Arabidopsis thaliana: one gene and its partner. The protein of the gene in region 2 interacts with the protein of the main gene of each other region in a pairwise test. Each region holds a gene or a part of one and is shown on either strand. Other genes may lie near its edges.

Region 1 (6,897 bases), on a different chromosome or scaffold from region 2:
GCTCAGCCAAAGGTCGACGCTCCGGTTGAGAAGCCTGCCAAGTTTTATCCGGCGGAAGACGTCAAGAAGCCGCTTGTTAACAGACGCAAGCCTAAGCCTACCAAGCTAAAGTATTTATCCATCTTCTTCTTCGATTGGTTTTTAATTTTCATTTGAGTTTGATTCCGCTAGATCTAGTATTAGAATGGTTTTGGATCTACTGGTGATATAAGAGAGACCATACAAATTGTTAGGATTTTTAGAAATGTAGGATTCCTAGAGATTATGGCTATGCTTCATTTTTGATATGAATATGGTTTTGTTTATCTCTGTGTTGCAGAGCCAGCATCACTCCAGGAACTGTGTTGATCATTCTTGCTGGTAGATTCAAGGGTAAGAGAGTTGTCTTCCTCAAGCAACTTTCTTCTGGTTTGCTTCTTGTAACAGGTGAACTCTTATCTCTCGATGGTGTTGGTTTGATTGTTCAATTTGGAACCTATGTTAATGTTTGTCTTTGTTGATTTGGTCATTTCAGGACCATTCAAGATTAATGGTGTTCCATTGAGACGTGTTAACCAAGCCTATGTGATTGGAACCTCCACAAAGATTGACATTTCTGGAGTCAACACTGAGAAATTCGATGACAAGTATTTTGGAAAGGTTGCTGAGAAGAAGAAGAAGAAAACAGAAGGCGAATTCTTCGAAGCTGAGAAAGAGGTATACAATCATCTTATGGATATTTGGTTTTATCCAAAAATGGTTATTATGTGTTTTCTTGTCTTTGTACCATTACCTAATTGAAAACTTTGGGTTGAACAGGAGAAGAAGGAGATCCCACAGGAGAAGAAGGAAGACCAGAAAACCGTTGATGCTGCTCTGATCAAATCCATTGAAGCTGTCCCAGAGCTCAAGGTTTACCTTGGAGCCAGGTTCTCATTGAGTCAAGGAATGAAACCACATGAGCTTGTTTTCTAGATTTCGTATTGTTTCTCAAATTTTAAGAATATCTGTTTCCCTGAGTATTTTCATCTTTAATCGTCCTTGGATCTTAAAGACTATTTTCTCTGATTTTATATATCAAATTTTCGAGCAATCTAGCTTTAAGACCTGGTGTTATGAATTCGATTTTCTATAAAAATGAATAAATGAAAAAGCATAAGAAATGATCACGAATTAATTTTTAATCCAAAGTAATCAACAGCAGATTTTGCCATAATTGAAGCAAACTCTCCAAAGCTTATAACACCATCACCATTTGTATCAGCTTCTTTGATCATCTCCGTTAATTCTTTATACGTTAATGGTTGACCCATCTTGGCCATTGCTCCTGCAAGCTCAGCCGCACTTATGAACCCGTTACCGTCTCTATCGAACGATTTGAAAATCTCGAGTAATTGCTCGGAATTGATTAGGACCTCTTCGTTAAGATCAGGAAGAATTGTACCAACGAGCTCATCGAATTCGACAAAACCGTTGCCGTTTGAGTCCATGCTAGCTAACAAAACATGGATTTGATCGCCGGAAGGTTTGAGACCGAGTGACCGGAGAAGTGCCGCGAGTTCTAAGATTGTTAAGCTTCCGTCTGCGTCCATGTCGAACCGGTCGAAAATGTCTTTAAGTTGTCTTATCTGATCCTCCATTTTTTCTTTCTTTCTTTAGCAACACAAATAAAAATCGATTAATCAATGTTGGCGACGAGAGAGATTGATGAGACAAGAGGTTATGATTGTCAATGAAGGGTGTGCCAGAAAGGAGATTTAAGATTGAAGTTTTGTTTCTTTTTGAGCACGTAGAATTTAGAATTCTGGATCTTTTCTATGTTTTAATGTTTTGTTTGTTCTTTTCTTTTTCGTTGGTTTGTTAATGGTTGCTGATAAAAATAGATAAGACCACATATTTTTTTTTTGTTTGAGTTAGATTGGTACTGCTATTGAAATGTGAAAATTCATAATGATTCTTTTTGCCTTTTTGGTAAAGAAAATCATATTGATTGTGGTGAAACAAAAACATGACATTGTCCTAAGAAACATAAAGATAATTAGAATTGTGACTAAATATGTGAAGCATAAGATTTAAAATAAAATTAAATGCCAATGGTTACGACTAGTGAAATGTGATAAATTCATGATAATTGTTGAGAAACAGAACATGACATTGTCCAAAGAAAACAAAAGATAATTAACTTAAAAAACCAAACAAACTAAGAAAACAGAAAAACACAAGAAACTGAAATTGAGTTGTTGATCAGACAGAATCACTTTTCCTAGCCGTCCGATTGTTACGACGAGCACAGCAACCGCAGGAATAGACGGTTATGAGGAGAATGAGGAGACAAATGTTGAAAACAAGAAGATTCCTCCACTTCTCTCTTATGTTCGCTAACACACCCGCTTTGCATGCGTTGCAGTTGAAACATAACTCTGTTTGCACGTTGCTCCACGTACCACAGTCCCCGTTTTCCGCAACTGCCGTTTCGTTTTTGCTCGGCGGTATCCAGAACGTCGCGTTTCTGAACTCGAAGTTGCAATCCGATGGTGGCTTACAACAACCTGACTGCTCATACACAATCAATACTTGAGTTACACAACCCATTATGAACAATAAATTTAACGGCTTAACATATAAGTGTTATCTTAGTTCGGCTAAAAATTGTCTTGCTTTTGTTACTATATGCAAAAACTTAACAATGAAATTTAATCATACTAAGAACGATGAAATGAACCTAGACTATTTTTTATTGATTTGTCTTTACATATATATATACTAAAGAAAGCAAAAGCTTTGATTGGTCTTCCCTTTACTATATTTATACAAAAATATCAACAAAGAAATATGTTCATACAGAAAATCGATCCAAAACAATACCTGGATGGGAGACAAGTTCTTGTGATAAAACGCATCAGCGATCTGACTAACACGACCATCACTCAAATCATCACAAACGTTAGCCTCAGCCAAACAAGACCTTATCCCAACCCATCTCTTCCCACCAACGAACCCATTAAGCCACGTCGAGAAATCCACCGTCCGGTACTCTTTATACCCTCGACCGGACACCACACGACCGGCTCCTTTGTTGGTCACAAAGAAGAGAAATATGGAGAAAATCATCAATGCAACAATGCCCCCAAACAATATGATCAAGTAGGAAACCATTGCCAAATTCTCCTTGAAACAAGATCCAATCACTCCGAGCAAAGACACCAAGAAGAGGATGAGTCCGGTCGTGAGAAGTGGTATCCGAATGGCAGATTCACAATCAGTGACGCCTTGGTGAACGAACATGTAAATCGAATAACCAATGGCCGAAGCGCCCACTAACATCACCAATGTGTTTGCTAGACCAACCATGAAATTGCTAACTCGAAACATTTTTGGAAATTTGCTTTCTCCAAATGATAAACTCGATTAACCTGATCGGATTTTAAATAGATACGGAGAGGGAGAGAGTGTTTTTTTGTTGTTGTTTGAATTTGATAATTATGTTTCGTAACGTTTTTAGTGTGTGTGTGTGTTTTTAAGTGTGTGGAGTCGTGGTTATTGGGGAAAGAGGGAAACGGTTGCTTTTTTGGTAGTGGGTTGATGATATTAGTGGAGATTATTAGCCATTGGTTTTAGAGATCGTGTGGGGGTTAAGAAGATCCTTTAGTTTAGAGGAAGTCGTTTAATTAGATTTTGACTAGGTCTTACTGCCACGTAACTAAGACTAATAATTAAACTGTCACTCGACTTTTTAAACATTGAATTTAATAAGAATTTATTGAGTACGAGATTGTTGGGAAAATTACATATAGGTTTATGTTAATTTTATTTTTAAATAAAAATGCATATTAATTCATATTTTTGTTACTTGGAAAAGGAAAAAACAAACTAAATAAGTAAATATATGAATAATAATATGTTGTGAAAAAACGTTTTTCAAGGATAAAACTCAAATTCGTGGGGGGTTTATAATATTCGTTAAGAATTGATGGAAGAAAATCCAAAAATTTATTATTGCATGGGTAAATAACACAACCATTTTATACCCTGGTGACATCTAGGAGATTTTCTTCTTATTTTGATCTTAACTTACAAGATTGATGAAATTAGTGGAATTCCAAAACGCATCTCACGTGACAAAATAACTACTTCTGGTGATAGCTCTGGTTTAGTCAGAATAGATTATAGATACCAAACATTTGGTGTATCCGAGTATTTACTTTAAAAGACTCTTCCTCCATCGTTAAGATTAGAAAAAAGAAAGAAAAAGGTGTTAGTTAATATTGAAGAAAACTAATGAGAAACTAGAATTAAATATATATCATGTACATTTGATATGGAAAAATGAAATCAAGAATAATAGCCCCTATAATCATCAGGTTCATCGAAAGTATCCATAATGGACCTGGAAATGGCGAGGCTGAGACAAACGAGAAAGAGGGCAGGATAAGAGAACATGGAGAGATATTTCCATTGATGAACAATGGCTTTTAAGATGCTCATCTGGCAACCTCTGCAACTGAGACAGTATTCGTAAGAACATTCTTCCGGAACATGGTTCTCTACGTGTTGATGTTTCCAACTCCATTCTCCTGGTTGCCCGAACATTGTCGTCACTCCACATCCTCTTGGTTGCGCGCAGCAATACCTCTATATATATCATCATTGTTAGAGAATTGATCTTTTATTACGAATGAATCAGGATGAGGTGACATAATTAAGTACTTACCCAAACATTGCTGTTTTGGCTGGCATTGAAGTTACAGTCATGGTTATGAATGATGCACTCCGTGACTTTTGCAAGTTTACTTTCAGGGACTAGCCTGCCTACCAATTGCTTGGCGGTTCGCTTTTCCTCAGCCGGGTTCTTGGCGATTCCAAAGGTTGTGTTGTAGATGAAACACTTTAAAGAGTAGCCACCAAGGACAATGCTTACGAATATCATTGCATAGATGTAGATTGTGAACATACGTTTTGAGTGACAACAGATTGCGTAAAGAGCAAACTGAGGAATCACCAGCAAGAGCAAACCAATGACGACGAAACTGCCATCCGTTTCTCGGATACATTTCGAGACTGTTTTTCTGTAATATAAACCTGTTCCCGTCATTGTTAAGCCTATGCATATAAGGATTATGGTCGCCATTGTTAAGAACCCTGTTCGTATCTCTGACATTTTTTGCAAATCAGGAAATCTAAAATGACTCGTAGAGTATATGATGTTTTGACTTGTGTGATATATGAAGAGGTTGTAACAAAGAGACAAGGAATCAAGAACAGAGAGGTATCAGTTTTGTTTTTGAGTTTTAAGACCTTAGTTTAGTCTAAAGACAGCTTTTTGAAATAGGTTAAAACTGTTTAACGGTTGGTTTTTATTCCTTATTCTAAAACCATTATTTCTAAAAATAGAGATTCAAGTTAAATCAAGATATATATAGTACACCAAACTCTTTTGACATGCAACTTCGATAAACAACAAGCAAACTCCGAAACTCCAGTTATTACCAAACTATGTACTTGAAAATAAAAGAACCTAACTTCTGTCTGACTTTTTGGTATTTGCCGGAAAGATTTTTAATTCAGGCAGCGACTCTGTTTTTTTGGGAAGGGATTTTTGTGGCGGAGTTTTCTTTGAAGTCCATCATTTTGTTCAAAGCTCCAACATAAGCTTTGACGCTTGACACCACAATATCCATTCCTGCTCCAGTTCCACTGCCAAACACAAGACAACCGGTTTGGTGTTATAATACAAGCAAGAATCAACAAGAAACAATAAACTTCGCAGATAAATCGATCCGGTTTGAATGAGATATGGGGCAAAAGAGGATTTTACCTAAAGGTTCTTTGAACCTCTTCACCAGTTATTGCGTTTGTAGATGAGTATTTGTTGCTTCCACGGATAAGAACTCTTGTGGTTGCGATGGCATCAATGCCTTCTGTTACTGCATTCATTGAGTACTCAAGCAGAGTAGCCGGTTCCTAAAGGGGGAAAAAGGTTTTCAATAAGCGATGACCCACTGGTGAGTTATTTGTAGATGAGAGCCTCAGCGGTATAAACAGTACCTTTACGATAAGATCTACTGCCTTGTAAGCTGAATCCACAGGCCCAGTTCCAATAGAACAAGCGACATGTTCTTTGCCATCAGCGTCAGCAAGTTTTACAGTTGCTGTTGAAAGCCCGAGAGTTCCACAAGTTATCTGCATTCCACTTTTAAGTACCATGAGAATTGGATAAAGACAATGAACAAGAAAAAAGAGTAAGAAAGCACATTATGATCCCAATTTCACCTGAATGTCCAGGAGTTTCCACACGGCTTCTGGCTGGAAAACTTCATCAGATACTAAAGCTATTATGTCCGCATCAGTAACTCTCTGGATCAGCAAGGGAACATATACGATCAGAAGACATTACATTAACAAATCAAGAGCACTAGAAAATAGAAAGAGTAATCCTCTACACATCCTAAGTTTATGCAGCCAGAACTAAGGAAACAAAGTACATTCCAAATTAGCCACGGAGACTCAAGTCTTATAGGTCTAACAAAGCTTTCAAAATGGCTGCGAAGCTTTTATTTGGAATTGAAAACGCAAGTTAGGTTTCCGAGGAAATACACAATAACCAAAAGCAACTACCTTTTTCTGCTCAGCCACGGTTTTGAAGCGCCAGAAAATGGTACTTAGCTGTTCATCATCTAATTGATAACCAAGCTGGAAATGTACAAAAGATAAGAGAACATTAGTGTCTCCCACAAAGATGGCAATACAAGTATTTGTATGTGTAAGATTGCTGTGCACCTCAGTCAAACGGTCTTTCAGCGCATGACGCCCACTGCATAATATATATCCAAGCAAAAGTAGAGACCAACAGTTAGACTTCTGGTTTCAAACACATATGTAGTGTACACTAGCTTATAAATTGGAAAAAAAAAATGACGC
Region 2 (9,329 bases):
TGCCGTTTTCGCAAAGAAACGGCAAGACTAGGCTAGAACCGATCCGTTTGATTTCAAATTTGGTCTTCTTGCCTGTAAATCATATACTTGAGCTCAGAAGACAAGTGACGAGCAATAGGATAGCTTATGAAATCAGAAGTAACTTCAGAGTCAAAGCTATTTTTGGGATGATTCATTATTCTTATATGCTACACGGGATTTGTCAGCTTCAATTGAGCAGTCCACCAGCCGGTGGCTTAGTTTATCGGAACTGCACTACAAAAAGATGGTGAAGAACAGAGTTCATCTTCAAAGTCTCTATCTTTACCCTTGTGTTCTTCAAGCATAGATCTTTCTTTTGCCCACTCACAAGATGTAAAAAAACGAATCAAGATTCAACAGACTCTATGCAAGAGCCAAGATAAGATTTTTGTTGTATATTGTTAAGACATATCTAGTAAGGTTGGTGTAATTAAATGAGTCAAAGAGATAATTCTTATACGGCCACATGTTCTTATCACTTATTCATGTTTGCTTCAAGATTACTAAATCTGATCCGATCCATATTTGATCCACAAGATACAATCTAAAAGAAAAAGGATCTGACAGTAGATTGCTATGTTGGTTCTTTTTTGGTTGAAAGAAATCAAAAGAACAAAAGGAAGCAGATTCATCTCCTAACACAAGCCAACATGGAGTTCTTTTTAAAATTTATAGTCTTAACTTCATGAATACTTTTTTTCTAGGAAACTTCAGGAATTAGCTACAAAAGTGTCAATTGCAAGTGGCAGAGAAAAGTTAAGCAAGAGATTGACTGGCTAACTAGCTTAGCCAGGAAAAGCATGTAAAGTTGAGATTGTATACGAAGCCCAAATTCTCAGCAAAATCTTTAGACAAAAGCAAAAGAAAAGGGACCTAACAATTTGGGGTTTGAGAAACATCAAATGTCTAGTGGTAGAGACTGAAACAACGATCGACAACACAGACTCTTTCACAATTTTAATACTTGTGTCAGCAAGAAATTAGTAATCAATTCTAACTTTTATCTGCATTCCATCATATCAACTTGCTTGCAGTAGCCTACTAAAAAAAGTACTAACTAGACGAATGAGAAAGGAACAAGACCTAGTTTAGGCTTTTGAGAAGAAAACATGACAATCCTAATTAAGGGTGAACAAGAATTAGTTCTGCATAGACCTAGTTCTGTTTTATTCACTTTAGCTTCCACGGCAAGCATCAAGGCCTTCTGATGCATCATTTTTTACCATCTTAAGGAACCCATTGTTTCGAAATGGGGTCACAGTCTGCCGCAAATTAAGAAATCCTAGAACTAGAAGATCAGATTCGTACTCAGCATTACGTTCCTCATCTAGAAAAAACCCTAATCCAACACCTGAGAAACGCATCCCTCAATGTTAAACGTTATATTGAGAAATTGGTTAACAAAACAACACTTTGGTTAAACCAATTACGGTTCTCCGAATTGGTTTACTCAGTCGTATTTTAATTTTGTCATTTAACTCGATACGATAGAAATCTTCTTGTACATATTTAAACGGACTCATTTGAAACACAACAGGCCCGTTAGGCCCGCGAATTTGAAACCCATTATATGTATGTATCCGGATCTCATACCCGGTTAAATATCTCTAGGAGAAACTCTTGCATGGATGATGCATGGGCACAAGACTTGAAAATGAAAATCATGAGATGATGTAATGTTAGCTCACAACAATACATCGAATCGAACACATGAAGTGGACTCCCGTACATTCCGCATAATCATCATTAGCTTTTTGTTGCTTCTGTCTGTTGCGAGACTTCAATAACCTTTTTCACATATTTTTTTCCTTTAGCTGATTTCGTATTATTTTGTCAATAGTTTGTTTCAAAAATACGAAAAATAATCATTAATATCACGAGTAATGGATCTACTCATCTACACGAGAACTAATATATTGTTCGGGATACGAATTTGTTAAGATAATTTTTCTCTTGCTATACAACTAAACTAACTACATTTAAACTGTGATGGCAACTCAAAAATCAGGACTAATTTAAAAAAACTTTTGGAAGTCACTATCAAAACCTCTTGAACTTAAGAGATTAAATAGACAAACATATACACAACAAAGAGAAGCAACACCCACAAAACTGAAAACTGTCGTTCTTACATTTGGTTAAGGCATGTGCAATCTTATTATTGTGTGCACACAAAGTTTTTTTTTTTTTTTTGATAGCTTAAAAAGGTTATGTGAGCCTCGAGTCATCTTCAATCTTATATTATATAACCAAAAATATTATTTATTGTATTTAGATGATAAAAATTGGTGATTGTTGGCTGGAAAGTCATTGTTATTCAGACAACACATGATCATGTGATGGGTGGCGCGTGGGTCCACGTGATCCCACGTCGAAAGCCTCTCTTATAAATTTCACAAAATTAGCAAACATCCAAAGATTATATAATTTGATAATTGAATAAAAATTTTAATAAAGAAGAACGAATCTTTCTTCTGTATGTAACTCCAAACACTCCCGGCCTTTCTCATCCAGTATTTGTATCTTAAATTCTTCAAAAATTACAAAAGCAAATACCTTCAAAAATTTTATAAATAGTAACTCATCATGTTCTATTTTTTGATATAATAGAATTGTGGATCAATGTTCAAACTAATCTTTCTCTTCCTCAAAATTTAGTTTCTGCAATGTTCAGACAAAATGGACTATTGAACATGGATAATTCTTGGATCTATGAATTTTCGGTTTAGCAAAGTTAACCAATATCTCCAATTATTTATGTTTATATTATTATTTTGAAAATAAAAAATAATAAAATAAACCACTTCAAGCTATTGAAATTATTTTACAATACATTCTTTCTTCAACTCGTTTGCAAGAAAAAATAAAATTAAAACTCACAAACCAAAACAATAAGCTAAGCTTAGATCTTTCTTTCCCTGATTCTAACAAATCATCGACAACAAATAAATATTCACACACACATTTTATAAATGTCATCACCCTAATCGAACTCCTGTAAAATTTTTTATACGGATTCATCCGAGTAAGCAAACGAACAATTAGATGAACCTCGAGGAGTACTGACAATTTTCTCCGGTGGTAACGGTTGCGGCTGCCATTTTTCGCATTTTCCGCCTTTTATCATATCGGATTCCGATCTATCCATATCAAACTGCCTAATCTCTTTAAGCATTGCCACAATGTCTTTCATCATAGGCCGATCGGATGCCTTGTTGCTCACACAAAGGAACGAGACCGCTAGAGTTTGTAGCATCTCATGCATTATAGGATCTGCCCGCCCGCGGAGTCTCGGGTCAAGAATTTCTCTAGGATCTTTCTTTCCGGCTAAATGATCTCTCACCCATTGAACCAAATGAGCACCTCCGGGTAGATCCGGGTCCAATGGATGCTTCCCGGTTAAAACTTCTAGTAGCACCACTCCATAGCTATACACATCACTCTTTTCTGTTATATGTTGCATCGAAGCATGTTCTGTAACAAAACAAATAAAATCCGTTATAAAGTTAATATTTCGAAATTGATAAGTTTATAACGTTAAAATCGAAATTTTGAATTTTACCTGGAGCCATGTAACCATAAGAACCGGCTAACGGAGGCCGGTTACTCAATTTAGACGAATCTCCATCGGTAACTCCCTCACCGGAGACGATTTTTGCTAAACCGAAATCGGCTAAGTAAGATTCGAAGCGGGAACCCAATAAGACATTCATAGCTTTAACGTCACCGTGTAGAATCGGAGGAAGACAATCATGATGAAGATAAGCTAGTGCATGTGCAACGCCTAAAACGACGTCGTAACGTGCTTCCCAATCAGCTCCTCCACTTCCTTTACCGGCACCGTGAAGCAGAGAGCTTAAACTTCCGTTAGGAAGATAATCATAGAACAAAAGCTTCAGATTCCGATTCGAACACCAACCCAAAAGACGGATTATGTTCCTATGTCGAATCGATCCAAGAGTGTTGATCTCTGAGTTAAACGCTCTGTTTTCTTCCTTTGACCACATTTTCTTCACAGCTAAAGTTTCACCGGACGGGATTGTGACTCTGTAAACTACACCGGAGCTTCCAGTTCCGATCACGTTAGCTGAAGTTAAGTTCTTGACGATGTCGTCGATGGAGAAATCGAGTTTCTGATAAAGAGTCACTTCCCAAGAATCTAACTCCTCTTGTTTTCCGGTGATTCGTTGAGCTTTGACGAGAGTGTAAACCGCCATGAGAACAAGAACGACGCTTGCTGCTACGAGGATCGACATGGTTACTTTGACAGCCGAACGGTGTCGGGTTTGGATCCCATTCTCGGGTCGGGTCGAAATAAATAGCCCTTTGTTTGATTCAAGAACAGAGAGTGGAAGTTTCCTGAAAAACAGAGTATTTGGTAACTCGCCTGAGAATTCGTTGAAGGAGATGTTGAGTGAGACGAGGTTCTGTAGATCAGCTAAGACGTTTAGGTTTCCGGCGAGTTTGTTGTGAGAGACATCGAGGGTTCCGAGATTAGTGAGGCTAGAGAATCTCGACGGGATCTCTCCGGTGAAGTGATTGCAGCTGAGATTTAGAGAGATCGCAAGAGACGGGATCCGTCCTAACTCGTTAGGGATTTCTCCGGTGAAGCCATTGTCGCCGAGGTTGAGAAGCTGAAGACTCCGACAGGAAGATATCTCTCGAGGGATTTCGCCGGAGAAACGATTCTTCGCGAGATTGAGCTTCGTGAGTTCGGTTAACGATCCGATTCCGGTTGGTAGAGAACCGGTTAATGAATTATCGGATAAATCAATGAATTGTAAGCTCTTCGGAAGTGTACCGGGTAAACCACCGGTTAAACCGTTTGAATGTAGATCGACGAATTCGAGACTTGTACAACCGGAGATCTCCGGAGGAATGTTTCCGATGAGACGATTCTCACTTATATCGATGAAGTTGAGATTTTTCAGATTCCCAATCTCCGCCGGAATATTCCCCGCGAGTCTGTTACCGTTGAGTCTTAACCGGTAAAGATTCGTGCAGTTTCCAATATCCGGTGGTATGAATCCAGATAAGTAGTTAGAGAGAAGAAGAAGCTTCGTGAGGTTTCGAATCTCAAAGATTCCATTAGGTATCGAACCAGAGAGATTGTTGTAGGAGAGATCAATCGCTTGAAGCTCTTGACATTGAGAAAGAGACTCTGGAATTATTCCGGTTAACTGATTCTGCCACGCAAAGAACATCGTCAAGCTTGTTAATTTCCCGATCAACGGCGGAATCTCGCCGGAGATTTGGTTGTTATCGATCTCTAAATGCGTCAACTTCGTGCAATTCGCGAGTTCTTCAGGGATTGTACCGGAGAGCTGGTTAACACTTAGCTGAAGCTCTTGGAGATTTGGAAGGTTTCCGAAGCTTCTTGGGATGTTTCCGGTGAGGAGATTTTCCGATAAATCGACGAGGAAAAGCTCCGGACAGGTGCCTAGCTCGGTAGGGATCTTTCCGACGAGATTGTTTTGCCATAAGAGAAGACTTTGAAGCTTCTTGAGACGTCCCATTGATACAGGAATCGATCCAGAGATTGAGTTTTGGTACAAGTAGAGGTTTTGAAGCTCTGTGCAGTTTCCAATCTCATCAGGGATTGGACCAGACAAGAGTGACGTGTAAAGAGCTATTGTCTGAACCTTTTTCAGGTTTCCGATCGACGCCGGAAGTCTACCGGAGAGACTTGTTTCGGCGAGACCTAAAGTCACAAGACTCTCGCAGTTACCAATCTCCCAAGGAAGCTCTCCTCTGAGATTCTTGTTACCACCTGCACGGAAGATTTCTAGATTCTTGAGTTCTCCGATGGTTCTAGGAATCTCTCCGGCGAGTTTATTGTCGAAGAGAGTGAGCTCGATGAGGTTAACGAGATTCCCTAACTCCGATGGAATCACACCTTCGAGATTATTTGTGTTGAGAGACAGAATCTTTAGTTTCTTGAGCTTGAAGATATCCACAGGGATTTCACCAGAGAGAGAATTATCAGCTAAATCAAGAACTTCTAGCTCCGACAAGTCTCCAAGCTCCTTAGGGATTGAACCAGTGAGATTCACGGAGGTTAAGCTGAGCAAAGTCAGAGACTTTATCTGTCGGAGATTCGTCGCCGGTAACGGACCTTGAAAATCCATGACTTGGAGTTGTATCTCCGAGACTTGACCTCTTTCGTTGCATTTGATTCCCACCCATTGACAAGGATTCGATTCGGAGGCTTTCCAAGAAGATAAAGCGTCTCCGGAGATGTTCAACTGAGATTTCCATGAGAGGAGAGCTAGACCCTGTTCGTCTATGGAAAAACAGGGGATGGAGAAGAAAAGAGAGGAGTGAAAAAGAAGGAAGAGGAAGAAGCAGAATCTAGGGTTACGTGGCATTGGTGAAGAGGGAGAGGAAGAAGAAGAAGTGAGAGATAGAGAGAGAGGTGCGTTGGGATTGTGAAGCGAAGAACCCCATGGATTTGGTTTTTACTTTGATTTTATAGAAATATATAAAAACAGAGCAAACCAAAGGAGAGAGAGAGAAGAAGAAGTAGTAAAGGAAGATCTGGATCCCAAAAAGCACCTCTACCTTTTTCCCTTTATTATTATTTTCCAAACAATGTCACTTTATTTTTTCACCATTATTTGTTTGTGAACAAAACAGAATTATATAAGTTGAAAATTAAATAAAAATATAGATGAAAAGAGTGGTAAATTATATTTATTCCTTTTCTTGTAAGTGGATTTATCTGTGGTAAATGCTTCTAGATGAGGCATGCTGATAATATTATTCATAAATGGTAAAAAAAAAAAACTCCTATAGATCTAACTATTACATAGTCATAAATCATCTAAGAAAATTAGGTTATCAAATTCAGAAAATGACATGTTAGAATTGGCCCTATTATTTGTTATTTCTGGATTGTTATCTTTTAAGAAACAAAAGGAAGATAACGTTTACTCAGATCAATAATGACTTCTAGACTTCTAGTTACTAATAATGATATTTGTTGAATGCTACTACTAGTAGTACTACTACTACCTATTATTGATAAACGACGCATAACATAATTGGGGTTTTCTAATGCTTCGAAAGAAACATTTAGATAATTTGGATTGTGATTATTTGTTTTTTTTTTTGTTTACTTTGGGAGAGTCTGAAGTGGCTATATAGTGGTAAAAATGAGATTAGTAAATAACTGAAAGAAAGATGGAGATATCTACTTTGGATTTCTGATATATAAATTATTAAATTAGTAGTTGAAACATGGAATCTTGAAGAGTGTGAAATGCACATGAAAGCTAGGAATTTATGTGAAAGATTAATTAAATTTACTAATGCTCATCTCTGCTAGCATTGTCGGTCCATTTCATTCGCTGTAATTATCTGTTTATATCATACGTATGCTAATACTAATTAATATCCATATACATATATACACTTGCTCATACATATATTGAATTAAGATGAAGGTGTTTTAGATCCAATTTCTTGGACTGGAAATTTAGAATACTGATTAGAAAAATTAAAAAGGAGGAACTGGACAAAACAAAAAGATTATGGAAAAGATAAAGTAAACTAAAATTAAGATCATGGGTCAAGCATCATTAGGTCAAGAAGATTATATATAAAGATATAACACCACACCTCAAGTCACATGCCATAGTAGAATCAAAAGATTAAATATGTATCAATAGATATGTAGAGAGATGGTTATGCATGTGCATATCTATACACATAGTAAAGTGAGAGAAAGCATTTCGACAACATGGTTTTATTCTGCAGGTATTTAATTATGGAATAGTGTGTACTCTAATTACCGTAAATTTCACTTAAAAACTGGTGATGTTAATCATATATTGATGTAATATGTTTCGTAATATGTAACTTTTGTTGTAAGTTAGAGACAACAGATATTCTTTCATTTTAAAGAGTTACATTAATGGTAAGCAAGTAACAAAGTTTCTTTCTCACAAAAATACGAATATCTCTTGGGGTCTACCACATTTACATGAAATGTACATACTAAATCATTTGCATAAACAGTACTAGTGTGTCTAAATCATTCTCAGGCGCACCGTGGTACAAATGACCTCAACTTTAAGACCAAAAGTTTTGCTAACGCTTTGAATTCGACGTATGTACATATTTCGTGTGAGGCATTTCATCATTTGGACTAAGCTCCAACGTTTTGTCAACCCTTGATCTATAACTTCTTTCTTTGGTTTATAACTTATGGAGTATTTGTTTAGTTTTAATAAATAAATAAGAGAGTCATACCAAAATAAAATTAAAATAAGAGACGAACATGTGTGGGGAGAGTTAAATGAATATGGTCCATAAAGAGGAAAAATAAAAGGGAAAACAATAAGCCAAAAACCAACAAACAAGAAGGAAGTAAAGAGACAGCAAAAGATGCAAGAGAAAAGACAAGTACCCAACTGTATTTTCCAAACTTGTTAAAATTTTGATTTCTTTCTCAAATCTTATGATTATCATTAAATGGTCCATATTGTTCTTTTGTCTATCGCATCTATCGTTATTTGAATTAGTGTCGTCGACAATTAATGACTGTTATAGCTAAGCAGCTTCCAAATTATACATGTTCACATATGTATGCAATGAAGGGTGATGGTTTTTATTATAATGAAGTGTGATGGTTTTTCTTACTTTTAAGAAAGTTAATAGTGATGATAACAATTAAGATAAATTAAAAGATGTAGACTTGATTACGACAATGGAACAAGATCTGGATCTATATCACGTTTCGATTAGGTCAGAGATCTCACCACATGATGATAGAGCAATAGAAAATACGTCTAGGGATATATATATAAGCAACTAAGGATAAATATTACTAAGTGAGTGTTATAAATTACTAATTAAGTGGATCTGATCGATGATTATGATGGGCAATTTTTTACTTAGTTTTTTTTCTTTCTTTCTGCTAATTAAGTATATACAAGCATTTGTCTGTATCAATTTTATAAATTCAATTATAATAATAAAAACTGGTCCACTGTGGGGTATTTAGTAGCAGAAGCAGTCCAAGAATGTAGTGGCAGAAGTGTGAAAAGAAGTGGGCATCGATCAAAACTACTTATTTCTTTGTTAATTTGTCGATCCAATGAATATAACATATATTATGGTTGATCATGATAATGCTACGTCTTATGAGTGGCCATGTTGATAAAATTCCATTGGTTGTAACCACTCATACGACTACGAAGACACTGTAGTAAGAAAACCATTTAGATACTTGCTGATAATATGGAAAACCAACCAATCCAAAAAAGAGGAAATTTTCTAATATTAGTATTTAGAAAAGGCGAATA

What was found.
Region 1: the proteins of AT5G56040 (region 2) and TET11 interact in a protein complementation assay, tested with the Arabidopsis thaliana proteins (one large-scale study listed by BioGRID).

Annotation. Positions count from the first base shown.
Region 1 is NC_003070.9:6,371,505-6,378,401, reverse strand, and holds TET11 (tetraspanin11), read right to left. Parts: upstream 3,497-6,897; 5' UTR 3,352-3,496; coding exon 2,845-3,351; intron 2,533-2,844; coding exon 2,224-2,532; 3' UTR 2,069-2,223; downstream 1-2,068. Other genes in the region: AT1G18540 (Ribosomal protein L6 family protein), read left to right, coding at 1-110, 320-426, 515-696, 799-954; AT1G18530 (EF hand calcium-binding protein family), read right to left, coding at 1,146-1,619; TET16 (tetraspanin), read right to left, coding at 4,312-4,611, 4,691-5,137; MAML-4 (methylthioalkylmalate synthase-like 4), read right to left, coding at 5,541-5,673, 5,795-5,940, 6,025-6,159, 6,250-6,333, 6,595-6,669, 6,757-6,790. UniProt on the Arabidopsis thaliana protein: May be involved in the regulation of cell differentiation.
Region 2 is NC_003076.8:22,692,110-22,701,438, reverse strand, and holds AT5G56040 (Leucine-rich receptor-like protein kinase family protein), read right to left. Parts: upstream 6,617-9,329; 5' UTR 6,390-6,616; coding exon 3,584-6,389; coding exon of another isoform or gene 3,528-3,583; exon of another isoform or gene 3,496-3,527; coding exon 3,029-3,495; 3' UTR 2,794-3,028; downstream 1-2,793. Other genes in the region: AT5G56050 (late embryogenesis abundant (LEA) hydroxyproline-rich glycoprotein family protein), read left to right, coding at 1-272. UniProt on the Arabidopsis thaliana protein: Receptor with a serine/threonine-protein kinase activity.